Linked DNA regions of Oryzias latipes. The main gene of each other region encodes a partner of the protein of the gene in region 3 in a complex. Links are inferred from orthologs where the notes say so. Each region holds a gene or a part of one and is shown on either strand. Other genes may lie near its edges.

Region 1 (3,650 bases), on a different chromosome or scaffold from region 3:
CTGGTATAATCAACTTTTATTGAAGCCCCTTTGTAAAGATCCAGTTGCATGAGTGAGGGACTCTGTGTGGTACTGGAAACGGAGAAGCCCAGGCTTTGACTGAATCTATTTTTTTTACCCCTACTCTAGGTGTAGTGGAATACCTGAGTACTGGTGGAGTGGACTGCACCCATAAGGACTTCAAAGAGCTCCGTTATAGTGACTGCCTGACCAAATTTAACTGCAACGGCAAGAACAGCACGTCGAATGGCAGGATCACCCACGGCTTCAAGCTGAAGAGCGCCTATGAGAATGGCCTGATGCCTTATACCAACTACACCTTTGACTTTAAGGTAACACCTGAAGCTGCAGGGGGAAAAAAAGCTTTAAACGCCTTTCAAAAATGGTGCAAATGTATATACTAATTTAATGTACCTCCCCCTTAGGGTGTCATCGACTACATTTTCTACTCCAAGCCTCACCTGAACGTGCTGGGAATCCTGGGACCGCTGGATCCCCACTGGCTTGTAGAAAACAATGTCACCGGCTGCCCCCACCCCCACATCCCCTCCGACCACTTCTCCCTCTTTGCTCAACTGGAGTTGCTCCTGCCCAACATACCCTCCCAGGTCAATGGGCTTCACCTGCCTGCGCGCAGGTAGTTAGACCCTGCCATACCACTAGGGGGAGCTGCAACCACACCTCCCTCTCAGTTCTGCTCCCTCCCTGTACCAGCTCTTCCCTCCAGCACGCTGGAGGAGAAAGACACCTACACAAATCCACACACACACACACACATACAAAAAACCTGTAAAATATTCGTACAGTGAGGTCTGGCTGACAGGGATTTCGTATAGATACTCTATATTTTTCTTTGTTTTTCTTTTTATGTTCTTTTTTAACTGCTTGATTCAGCCCTGTTTGTGTATCATATTTTGTGTATTGGACTCCCCCTCCTTGTCAAATCCACCCCCGCCCCTCCCACCTGCTTTGCTTCTGTCTCAGACTGCAGAGGATGGTGGCTCTTTCGGCTTCCTCTCATATGTTGTGCTGTGATGTTTTGGAGTTAGAGGAAAGGTTAATGTTGCTGAAAAAAAAAGGACATTTTAAGTGAAAAGCTTGAGAGCTGAAGGTCTGCCGGTCTGTCTGTTCTGTATAAACCTAAAACCAGCAAAGACAGCAGACCCATCCCTTTCAGACCTGCACCGCTGGCTTCTTCTTGTCCTTCGGGTCCATGGTGCACCCCTCTCGGGGGGGGGACACGGAAACAACGTTCTTGTGTTTGGGGTTTTAGAGCAGCTTTTCGAGGGGTTTCTCTGGAGTGATGCAGCTCGCTTTTGTGTGTGTGTGCGTGTGTTGGGGTTTTTTTTTTCCTGCTGTCGTGCTGTGGTGCTGAGGCCTTTTATGAGGTCATGGCCTCTTGTGGTGCTACAAGACAGTCTATGCCTCCCAGCCCCGGCACATTAACCCCACAAGAAGCCCGGAGAACCAGAACCCTTAGCTTACATTTGTCCGATTTCACCGACGCCATGTAGCTTTAAAGAAAGATGGGAGAAACTGAGCGCAGCTGCTATCTGTTCTGCAGACTATTTCACCCCCTGCTTGTGTAGTTGTTAGGTTATTCTTGTGCTAGGAGCTTATGTGGCCTGTGTATCGCCTTTTTTTTTTTTTTTTTATTTCCTGGAAGGAGCAAGGGATTCGGCTGATTGGCTGGTCCATCGGGGAGCCATCACGCCCTTTATGGGTTGTGATTGCTTTTTAGGCAGAGATGGACACACCGGAGTAAAACCAGCATCCTTCTCACTGTCGGGAGTTGCCGTCCTACTCCAAACATGCAAGCGTACATGCACTCGCATACACCAAGATCTCTCACGGGCAGATTCTGTAGCACTGTCTCCAAGGCCTGTAGTGACTTTTCTCCCCCCCCCAGCCATGCGTTCCGTTCACAGAAGCAGTGGGTTCTTGGTTTCCTTTTTTTTTTTCCACAAGTCTTTGTACAGAATAGAAACCTAGACTCAGTCTTTACATGATTGTATATGAACCACAAAAGACCTGTTTTCTGGCGTTTTTTGTACAAAGAGTAAATTATGGTCAAATTTGAAAAAGAAAAAAAAGATTGTATTGTAAACTAAGGCTAAATTTTTATCCAGTTGATGTTGAGATGAATTGATATTACCAGCTTGTACAAAAGACGTAAGAAGAGGTTGTTGCAGGCATTCGCTGCCACTACTTTGCACTCCCTAAACATTGACTGTAACTTCAGTCCCCCCCCCATCCCCCACCCCTCTCTTTTGACCCTTGTTTGATTCGCCGACTCTTTGCTATGATGTAAAATGGGCAGCAAGGAAATTCTGCCTGTTGCTTCTTATCCATTAACGACGCCATTTCTTTGTCTTTTCGCCTCGTCGCCAGTAGTTTGGTCAAAGTGACATCCGAGGACGAGTACCATCTCTTCATCATTTAAGTGGTCGATATACACCCAGCCCCCCCCCCCCCCCCCCCCCCCTCCACCAATGTACATCGTGCCTCGCTGTAGCAGTTGACTTTGTCTTGCACTATTTATAAGCGGCGAACGCCTCAACAACCTTTTCTCTTATTTTTAAATACTGTTGAGACATTTGTGAAGATTTTGTCCTTTCTTTTTTTTTTGTTAATGTTTCCTTTTTTATGAGACGTGACAATGTTATATATACATATATGAATATATATATATATATATATATATATATATACACACATAAACTCTGTCCATTGACCTCTCTAATAATCAGGTATGCTTTGTCCACTGACCCTCTCTGTAAGGAACATGAGTCGTGGGGGCGTCTTCTAAACTCCCCCTTTGATTGCTGTGCTCCCTCTTTGTACCTAAAGCACTGCTCCCACCCCCCACCCCCATCCCAGCCCCCGGCTTCCTTCCTGGCCACGCGTCCCACCCACCAAACCACCCATCGTCTTTGTAACGCCCCCCACCCAACCACTTTGTATAGGTTTTCTACTCTTGTCACTGCAGCTATAGTGCCATTTGTGGAGCCCCCTACCTCTGTGTTGGTAAAAGGTGGAAAGGCCCACTTTTCCTTTACTCTTTGTGGGGGGAAAACTTTAAAAAGAAAAAAGGGTGAGGGTCAGTGAGCTTTCCTGTCAACACGTCGCTGCAAATCCAGTTTGTCTTATTCTGAAAATCCAAGTGAAGTCTGTGAGCAGCAGCGTAATCGTTTGAACGCTCATGTGGATGATGAGCACTTATCAAATTCAGAAACGGCTTTCCTCATTCCTCCCATATTAACCACTAAAAATGAATTCTGTTGCATTTTTAATGCAGGAAAGAAGCAAATCTACAGGAAAAATAATCAATTGGCCCCTCTCTAACTTCCTTTATTATGTTGTTTTAATTGCCCCCCCCCCCCCCCCCCCCCCCCCCCCCGGCGCACCCCAGCGGTAACCAATGTGTTCAATTTTGACATTTTGTTTCTTGAATGGCATTAGTATTGTAGTAGATTTAAAGGGGTAGCTTTTTTTGTAAAGTGTGAATAAAAGATGTATCTCATGTTTCCTTTCTAAAAGATGTTGGATTGTGTTGTTGATGTGCAAATCATGAATTCTTTGACGCATCGTTTTTAACACACCCCTACCCCACACACAAACACACACTTGGCGCCGAATCTACATCTCTG
Region 2 (4,241 bases), on a different chromosome or scaffold from region 3:
ATCCTCGAGCTGTCCTGTTGGACCTCTGCGGGCTTTTGGGGGTATGTCACCCGGTGCATCTGGCGCGTCGGTGTTCCCCCTGCGCCTCAGTCACCACACCACTTAAAAGGGATTCCCCAATTATTACCGCCAGTCTCTCATCAAGAGAGGTCAGCTCAGGCTGTCATTGCCAACAAAGGGTTTTCCACCAAATATTAGTAATGACCATTTTGTTTTCAGTTATTTAATTTGTCCAATTACTTAGGAGCCCAAGAAATGAAGGGATTGTGTTTAAAAAATGCTTTAGTTTTTCACATTTTTATACAATCTTTTTGTTCAACCAAGGCTGAAAGTCTGCACTTCAATGGCATCTGAGTTGATCTGAGAGACACGTTAGAAAAAACGTGTCTCTGTCCAAATATTTATGGTCTTGACTGTACATCTTTATCACAACAATGCTATAGGTGCACAACACAAAAATCCTAAAATACTTACAAGAATCATGGCGACATGGGAAAAACGTTCATAAGTCTGACATATGTAAGCCAACCCAGTGTCATCCAGCAGGATCTTTTGCAGTATGAAAGTAGCAACCTGATAAAAAAAAAAGAATTATAGTCAATGGTAGAAACATGAGTTAAATTCATACCATAGATAAATGCATGAGAGTAGGTTTTAGAAAACCAAAACCCAAATCTGTTAACACATATTTTGAATGTTTGACTCCAAAATCCATTTTTTTCTTCCTGCTTGATAAAAACTGCTTTTGATTTCATTGGTAATTACCGTCTTGGAGAGTTCACTTCCAGATTCCATGATGCGAAGACAGAGTGGGATGATTTCCGTAGTAAGAAGGAAGTTTATCACTTCTTGTTCATCGGTTTTCACCAATGCACCTGTCAAGAACACACAAACAAATCAAGATCTGACATAAACAGAATTATCAGAGCAATACCTAAAAGAGAAGACTTTTTAAATTAAAAGTAAAATCAACAAAAACATGATCTCAGCAGGAGAAATTACCTATGACTCCTAGACTGGTAAGTCGCAGGTACTCAAATGGACGCGTTTTACTCACAGTGTGCAGAAAAGGGTAAAGGAAAAGAGGAATATGGGCAGCTAGAAATGCTGACCTGGTGTGGACAAAACAAATAAAATCATATTAATCAATGTAACACATTAAACCTTGCAAATGGAAATAAGTTCGTTTTTTTTTTTAAATTATAGTGAATTGAGGAATTACATAACAAAACCTTAATATTAAACAATTTATTTAGACCATGGCCTTAATAAAAATGAAAATACTATATTTATTATCTTTTAACCGCTTTAAACTGAAGATCTGCAAAGGCTAAATGCTGGAAAAATCCACTATTCTGTATGATGTATGTATTAAAAGTGACTGATGACTGTTACTTTTTAAACAAATAATAAACAAATAAATAAAACAGATTGTGGTCTGTTACCCCTTTAAAACATTATAAGAGCAGTTAATTATTAGAATTACTAAAAATAAAAAATAAAAATCTGATTTTTCAGTAACAATAACTATCTTGTTACCGTGTCTCTGGATGTGAGGCAACACACTGCAAAAGTGCCAGGGCATTACACACTCTATTTGACTGGTGGGCTGTAAGGGTTGGTGGGTTAATAGACGGATAGATGTTTACTATTTCCTGAAAAAAAAAAAAAGGAGGACAATTTAATTAACAAAAGGAGTTGTTTAACACCACTACAAAAATAAAGACCATACAAGAGGCACAGATGCACAAACAGTCCCAATGGGATGACCTGTGTCAAATGAACAGGTGGACCAATACCTGCAACAGGGCAGCAATGGTGCCACATGAATGCCAGAGCATTGGGGCCAAGTCTGGCACGGATTCTCGCTTCTTGCTGAGCTCCAGCAAAGCATTCTCTCTAGTCTCTGGACTGGACAACTCATTGATCCACTGGTAAATCTTCTCACGGTCTACTTGGGCCAGGGCTGTGACGTTGGTTACAGCCTTTGATAGGAAGAAAATATCAATCCATTCGCAATCAATTCTTTAAACAAGCAAACAAACGAAACACTCAAGAACAAAAACATTACGCTAATTAAGATATATGTAACCTACGTTTAATTTCCCCCTTCTGCAAACCCAAATCATGAAGAGGAAATGACAGCGTGTAAATTTGTTAAATGTCTGCTATGACAAATTGGGGCAAAATCAAATTATTTGTCAATTTAACTACAAAAACGTCTCATGATTTGCCAACTGCAATACATGTATACCAAAACCATACTGTACTACATTTGTACGAGGCTTTCATTAATATTATGCAGTCTTTCTTTGAAAACTGCAAAGAGAAGTTCTGCTTTAAAATTAATTCAATAAAGAAAGCTGAAATTTGGGAGGAAAAAAAAGATTTTCGATGTACTTAGGCGAAATTGGAGGGAACGTCACCGTGAGAGCGATGCAATAGTTTGATACTCACCGCTCCCGTTGCCAACATTTTGGAAAGCTTTTCGGGATCTCAAAATACTCTTTTAATAGAAAGTTCGTCAGTTTGCACCTCTTCGCAATACTCGACCCTGAAATCTCACCGTAAGAACCATGGACATATGCTTACGAACTGCTAGCTTAGCTAGTTGCTAGGTGCTCTAACAAATGGGATCCACAACATGCGTAACTTCACATAACTTCAATCGAAATCCCAACACTGAGAACTACAGAAGCACAAAAAGAAATTATTGTCGTTATAGTATCAATAAACCAAGTTTACACTGGCATTTTTTTCAATCTCGCGTTTGATTTTTTTTCCTCGGCAGGGACAACTTCGCTACAAACAACGTCTCAGATATCGCGAGAGGAGAACGGAGCGCAATCTCGTTCATCATTTCCGTTGTAAATGTTCCCATTCCCGCCATCATCGCCCGTTGCTGTGAGGCGTAGTGTGCTGCTCTACTTGCAGCAAACATACAGAACAGCAGGTGAATGCCGGCAAAACCTTTTTTATGCTCTCGAAGGATCTGCGAAGTCAAGTCCACATTCTATAGGTTTGGAACCACCACCGTGATCCTAGACAGGTAATGAAATGACGATGGCACTGAATGTGGTTGTTTTCATCACCAAATTACTGTGTTAGCTAGCTCCCGCTAGCTTAGGAACCAGTGTTGCTAATGTGGGCCTCTTCCATCATATTAAGCGTCTGTTAAAGAAACAAAAACGCCACTGCATGCTTCACATTTAATATTAGATTCATGTTATTCGACTAGTTCGTTGATAGACTGATATTTTTGTTTATATCGTTTGAATCTATGGTTCTGGCCGCGCCACGAGCATCACAACGCAGCTCAAAATGTGTTGCTTCTCCTCTGCAACATTGGAGTTGTCAGTGTTTGTTGTTTAAATGCAGGCTCTACACAAACATGTTTAAAACTAAAATTCAATGACCGTTCAGGATATGCAGTTTGTTATATTTTGTGATTTTTGTGGTGCAGTAATTCATATTGTACTGTTATGCTAACTTGTCACTTTGGATTATGAAGTCCTACCTTTTTCCTTTACTTCAAACCGCATTTGCCATGTTGGCTACGTATCTACATATCTCATATTAGTTTTGTTTCTGTATCTTTTATTTATTTATTATTATAATTTTGAATAACACATTTCAAGTTTTTAGCAAATGTTATTGTTGGCTACAAATTAAATCACTTATAATCTTCAGAATGGCACGTCGGTGCTGCATGTTCTGTAAAAAAAACAATATAGCAAACTAGTTACAAAAATACTAACTTCTTGTTATGTGGCATTTAGCAATGGTAAAAATATTCATTTAAACTGTTTATTTGGTTAAATAGCAATAGCAGTCATAAAAGTGAGGTTGTTTTTGCCATTATAGGCTACCCGTGTGACTATTTCTTGACATGTTTATTTCTTTTGTACATCTTAAATTCAGACCTAACAAGTGGACCATCAGGATAGCAAGCCATGTCAACTTTTGTGCCCAAACTCTCCAGTGGTAGCACTGTCAAGATTCGCTTTAACACCATTGAGCTGGGCGGCACCAAGTGGAAAGAGGGAACCTTTGAAATTTTGGAAAAGGATAACAGAGTTAATCTCTGTTTAAGGTTCAGCTGTGGTGGCGCTGCCAAAACTTTCCAGGTAATTTCTCTTTAATGTATTTTATCTGTATGCTTGTTGGTGTTGTGACAGATATTTAGCATTAGGCATGATGTTTCTGTCATCCCTACTTAGACATTTTTTTAAATTAGTGTA
Region 3 (3,650 bases):
CTCAGCGGTGAATTTCTAGTGAACTCCTGCTGCTCTGCAGAAACGATGCTCTAGGAAACGAAACAGCTTTCTTAATTTTTGGCAAAAACGACATTATCATAAATAAAAGTCCACTGGGAACACTTTGAAGACAGATCGGAAGAGGATTGGAGTGGGACTTTAAGCTTGAAGAGTCTTGGTTCAGTGGGCAAGGGGCCTCATTTATAAAACTTTGCGTAGGATTTGCGTCAGAAGTGGCGTACGGATGAAACATAGGACGTGCGTACGCACAGAAATATTCGGATTTATAAAGCCGTGCGCACGCACATCCTACGCATCTTTCCCTTTATAAATCACAACCAATTCTAAATGCAGCGCAGCTTTTGCGGCTTCATGACACGCCCATAGTTGCCCATAAATAGTCCGTGAAACGCCCACAAATGAATATTCATTGATTGCAAAACCATGGCACACACCGAGAAATCAAAAAAACGCAACTTCACTCAATGTGAAGTAGAAGTTATCGTTGGCGAGGTGGAAAAGAGGAGGAAAATGTTGTTTGGAGGGCACAGTGTGGGCATTACTAATGCCAAAAAGGCACGTGAGTGGCAGACGGCGGCAGACGCCGAAAATGCTGTAGCCTCACAACCTCGGACCGTGGCCGAAATAAAAAAGAAATGAAAGAAATGGTCGGACATCAAACGAGGCAAAAAAACGTGTGTCTGCCACGGGTGGGGGACACCGTAGCTGACCCCTCTTGATGAGAGACTGGCGGCTATTATTGGGGAATCCCTTTTAAGTGGAGTGGTGACTGAGGCGGAGGGGGACACGACGCGCCAGATGCACCGGGTGACACACCGACGCACCAGATGCACCGGGTGACACACCCCCAAAAGCCCGCAGAGGTCCAACAGGACGGCTCGAGGAAGTCGGAACCGGCTCATAAGCCACTCGTCCTCGTTTGCCAGCAAGTCTTCTTGCTGTCTAAAGATGCGTTCACTCCGAATTCTTCCATTTGCCACATCTGTATCTTCTTGATGGGGCATTTTATTTCCATCCATTTAATTACATCTGACAAGCTACAGATGTCGGTAATAATCGACGTGGAAATGGGAAATTGTTCAGCGCAAATGTAATTTATTGTTGCTTTCTGAATGGTTGAGACATACGCCATACATGGTTTTATCAAAAATAAAACAAACTAAAGGCATATGCATGAATACCATAATTCTGTAGCTTATGAAGAAATGTTTTAATATGAAAACAACTTTCCCCAGTGGACAATTAATACGTCTGTCTGTCTAATTGCACCTATATCTGCTCCGCCAGACGGACACATTGACGGGAATATCAGTTTTGTACATTATTTCGTTCTGTTAACTATATTATTTATGAGGATGAATTGCACAACATGCCAATATTGTAGAACATATTTCACTTTTCTTTTTGCAAATAAGTGTTCATTTGAATTTCTGTTGTAATTTTCGTTTGATTTTTTTTATTTGTTTCACTGCTGATCGGTCCAACGGGTGTTCGTGTAGCTGTTAATTGTAAGACTTGCTTTGTGAAGTCTTCATGTTATTTCTGAGAGGCAGTATTGTCATTTTCACTTTCACGTGTTTCTTCCATCTGCCGACGGCGTCGCCGTTTCTCCTTTCACCCGTATTTGTGCGTACGCCTGGGTCAGAGCTTGCGTGAAGGACCGCACATTTTCCCGTCAAGTTTGCTTTTTATAAATATCAATTATTGCGTAGAGAGTGGCGTACGCTTTCTTTTGTGCGTACGCAACGTTTTTAAATGAGGCCCCAGATCTCCATGCGTTTGTTTATACAACATGACAGAGGAAAGCTGAGACGGACATACCCCTTTGTTGGCAGAGATGCAGCACTCAGCGAGGCGCAGCCACAGCCGGGGGTTGGAGTGGTACACCTGCACGGCCTCCATCAGACACTCGAAGGCTGCCAGCGGCCGGCCGATGTGCAGCAGCTGGATGCCACAGTTGTACAGCAGCTCGTAGCGCTTGTTGGCCAGCAGGGCGCACATGGGCATTCCTGTGAAGCTCTTTGCTTAAAGCCAGAAAGAAAACGGTGGTTATTGATGTGGCACTTCACGATGACTCTGAAAGATGCTGGGGAGAACGTGAGCAAGTGAAAAAGACCAACACTTGGACCTGGATGGTCTGCTCTGCACACGAGGACCCGCCCTCTAGAGTCAGACGAGGGCCGGGACGCTGTGCTTACCCTGGCTGCTGCTGCCGTCTCCCAGCTGAGCGCACGTGTGATCGTTCTCCTGCAGAGCCTTCTTGAAGTAAAAAATGCCCAGGTTGTGCTTCCCCATGGCAAAGTGAATGCAGCCCAGGTTATTCCAGAACATACAGCGAACACATTCACCTGGACGACGGGGAACACGGTCAGAGGAGGCAGCAGAAGCAAAGTCATTCATGACAGATGCTTTCTGATTGAATGACCACTAACTTTATTGATCCGTTTACAAAGCTTGAGTCGTAAATCCTTCACAAACATGCAGGTGATACTTATTCAGATGTTCCAGCAGAGGACCTGACCTGTCTTCATGGGTCCTGGATGCTCGGCGATGTTGCAGCTGTTCAGCAGCTTCACAGCTTTGCGGTAGTTTCCTCTCAGGTACTCAAAGTTGCTCTTCAGGAAAAGGGAGGGTGCAGACTGCAGGAGGAAAAAAAGCACCACAGTAACGACATGACCACAGTTCAGCCTGTGAGCACCAAAACTGAAATAAGCAAGGACATGTCCTCTCCAGGGTCACTGGTGAAGCATCCAGCAGCACGATTTCTATCAAAAAAAAGGTTTCTAAGTAGAAATCCAGTCATGAAAAAGATGGGAGGCAGATATAAACAAAGCTAAACTGAATACAAAGACCTGGAATCTCATGATTTTGACTGTACAGAATGGAGCTAAACAGGAGACTCAGGGTTCTCTGGACAGAGGAAGGCTGTGTGCATGGAGCCCACTGGAAACTCACATTTCCGGCTGTGTTCATCACCGATTTGATTTCTCTCTTACAGGCCTTGGAAGACTTCATCTGGATGTAGGCTCTGACCTTGTACTAGAGGGAGGAGACAGAGAGTGAGGGTTCTGGAGCAAGGCAGCAGAGTGAAGGGAGAGGACCCAGAGAGCTCTGACCTGGTGGAGTTTGTATTTTGCTGCTTCAATCATGGCTGCAAACTCCGCCCTCTGGCTGCCAGCGTCCTTATGTGAAGTGGCGCTCTACAAGCACACACACATAACAGTAATGCTTCCATCATATACACAGTGGACAGAGGAACAGGACTCTCGTGGTCGGTCCCTTCATTCCGTTTCTAACCCACAGGAAGGAGGCAGGTCGACAGTGACGCGTCAGCTGCTGCCATGCATTTCCTAAAACAGCGAGCAGCAAGAGAGGCAGCTTTAAAAGAGTAAAAAAACTGCAGCCTGTCATGAAGAGGCCCAGAGAGCAGCCGCACGAGCCGTCACTGCAGCCTGAAACCGGCTGGAGTGAGGAAAAGAAAACTGCAGAGAAACTAACTCCAGTACTTCACAGACTACAAGTGGCTCTGGACTGCAAGTCTAACTTTTGGTAGACTTTTGAAGAGCTCTGTAGTCACAGCCGCTCCATGACATCGTTCACAGATTCTCCCAGGACGGTGAGCTTCACCG

Evidence for each region.
Region 1: cnot10 (region 3) and CCR4-NOT transcription complex subunit 6 share a complex: the UniProt entries of both Homo sapiens proteins name them as parts of the CCR4-NOT complex. The link is inferred for Oryzias latipes from reciprocal best matches to the Homo sapiens genes CNOT10 and CNOT6.
Region 2: cnot10 (region 3) and cnot9 share a complex: the UniProt entries of both Homo sapiens proteins name them as parts of the CCR4-NOT complex. The link is inferred for Oryzias latipes from reciprocal best matches to the Homo sapiens genes CNOT10 and CNOT9.

The regions. Positions count from the first base shown.
Region 1 is NC_019868.2:16,555,756-16,559,405, forward strand, and holds part of CCR4-NOT transcription complex subunit 6, read left to right. Parts: intron 1-129; coding exon 130-332; intron 333-425; coding exon 426-641; 3' UTR 642-3,650. UniProt on the Homo sapiens protein: Poly(A) nuclease with 3'-5' RNase activity.
Region 2 is NC_019879.2:16,425,466-16,429,706, forward strand, and holds the start of cnot9 (CCR4-NOT transcription complex subunit 9), read right to left. Parts: upstream 2,836-4,241; 5' UTR 2,476-2,835; coding exon 2,458-2,475; intron 1,986-2,457; coding exon 1,800-1,985; intron 1,656-1,799; coding exon 1,540-1,655; intron 1,113-1,539; coding exon 1,003-1,112; intron 876-1,002; coding exon 766-875; intron 574-765; coding exon 475-573; intron 1-474. Other genes in the region: usp37 (ubiquitin carboxyl-terminal hydrolase 37), read left to right, coding at 3,954-4,127. UniProt on the Homo sapiens protein: Component of the CCR4-NOT complex which is one of the major cellular mRNA deadenylases and is linked to various cellular processes including bulk mRNA degradation, miRNA-mediated repression, translational repression during translational initiation and general transcription regulation.
Region 3 is NC_019874.2:7,749,998-7,753,647, reverse strand, and holds part of cnot10 (CCR4-NOT transcription complex subunit 10), read right to left. Parts: intron 3,222-3,650; coding exon 3,138-3,221; intron 3,061-3,137; coding exon 2,977-3,060; intron 2,661-2,976; coding exon 2,543-2,660; intron 2,370-2,542; coding exon 2,220-2,369; intron 2,046-2,219; coding exon 1,843-2,045; intron 1-1,842. UniProt on the Homo sapiens protein: Component of the CCR4-NOT complex which is one of the major cellular mRNA deadenylases and is linked to various cellular processes including bulk mRNA degradation, miRNA-mediated repression, translational repression during translational initiation and general transcription regulation.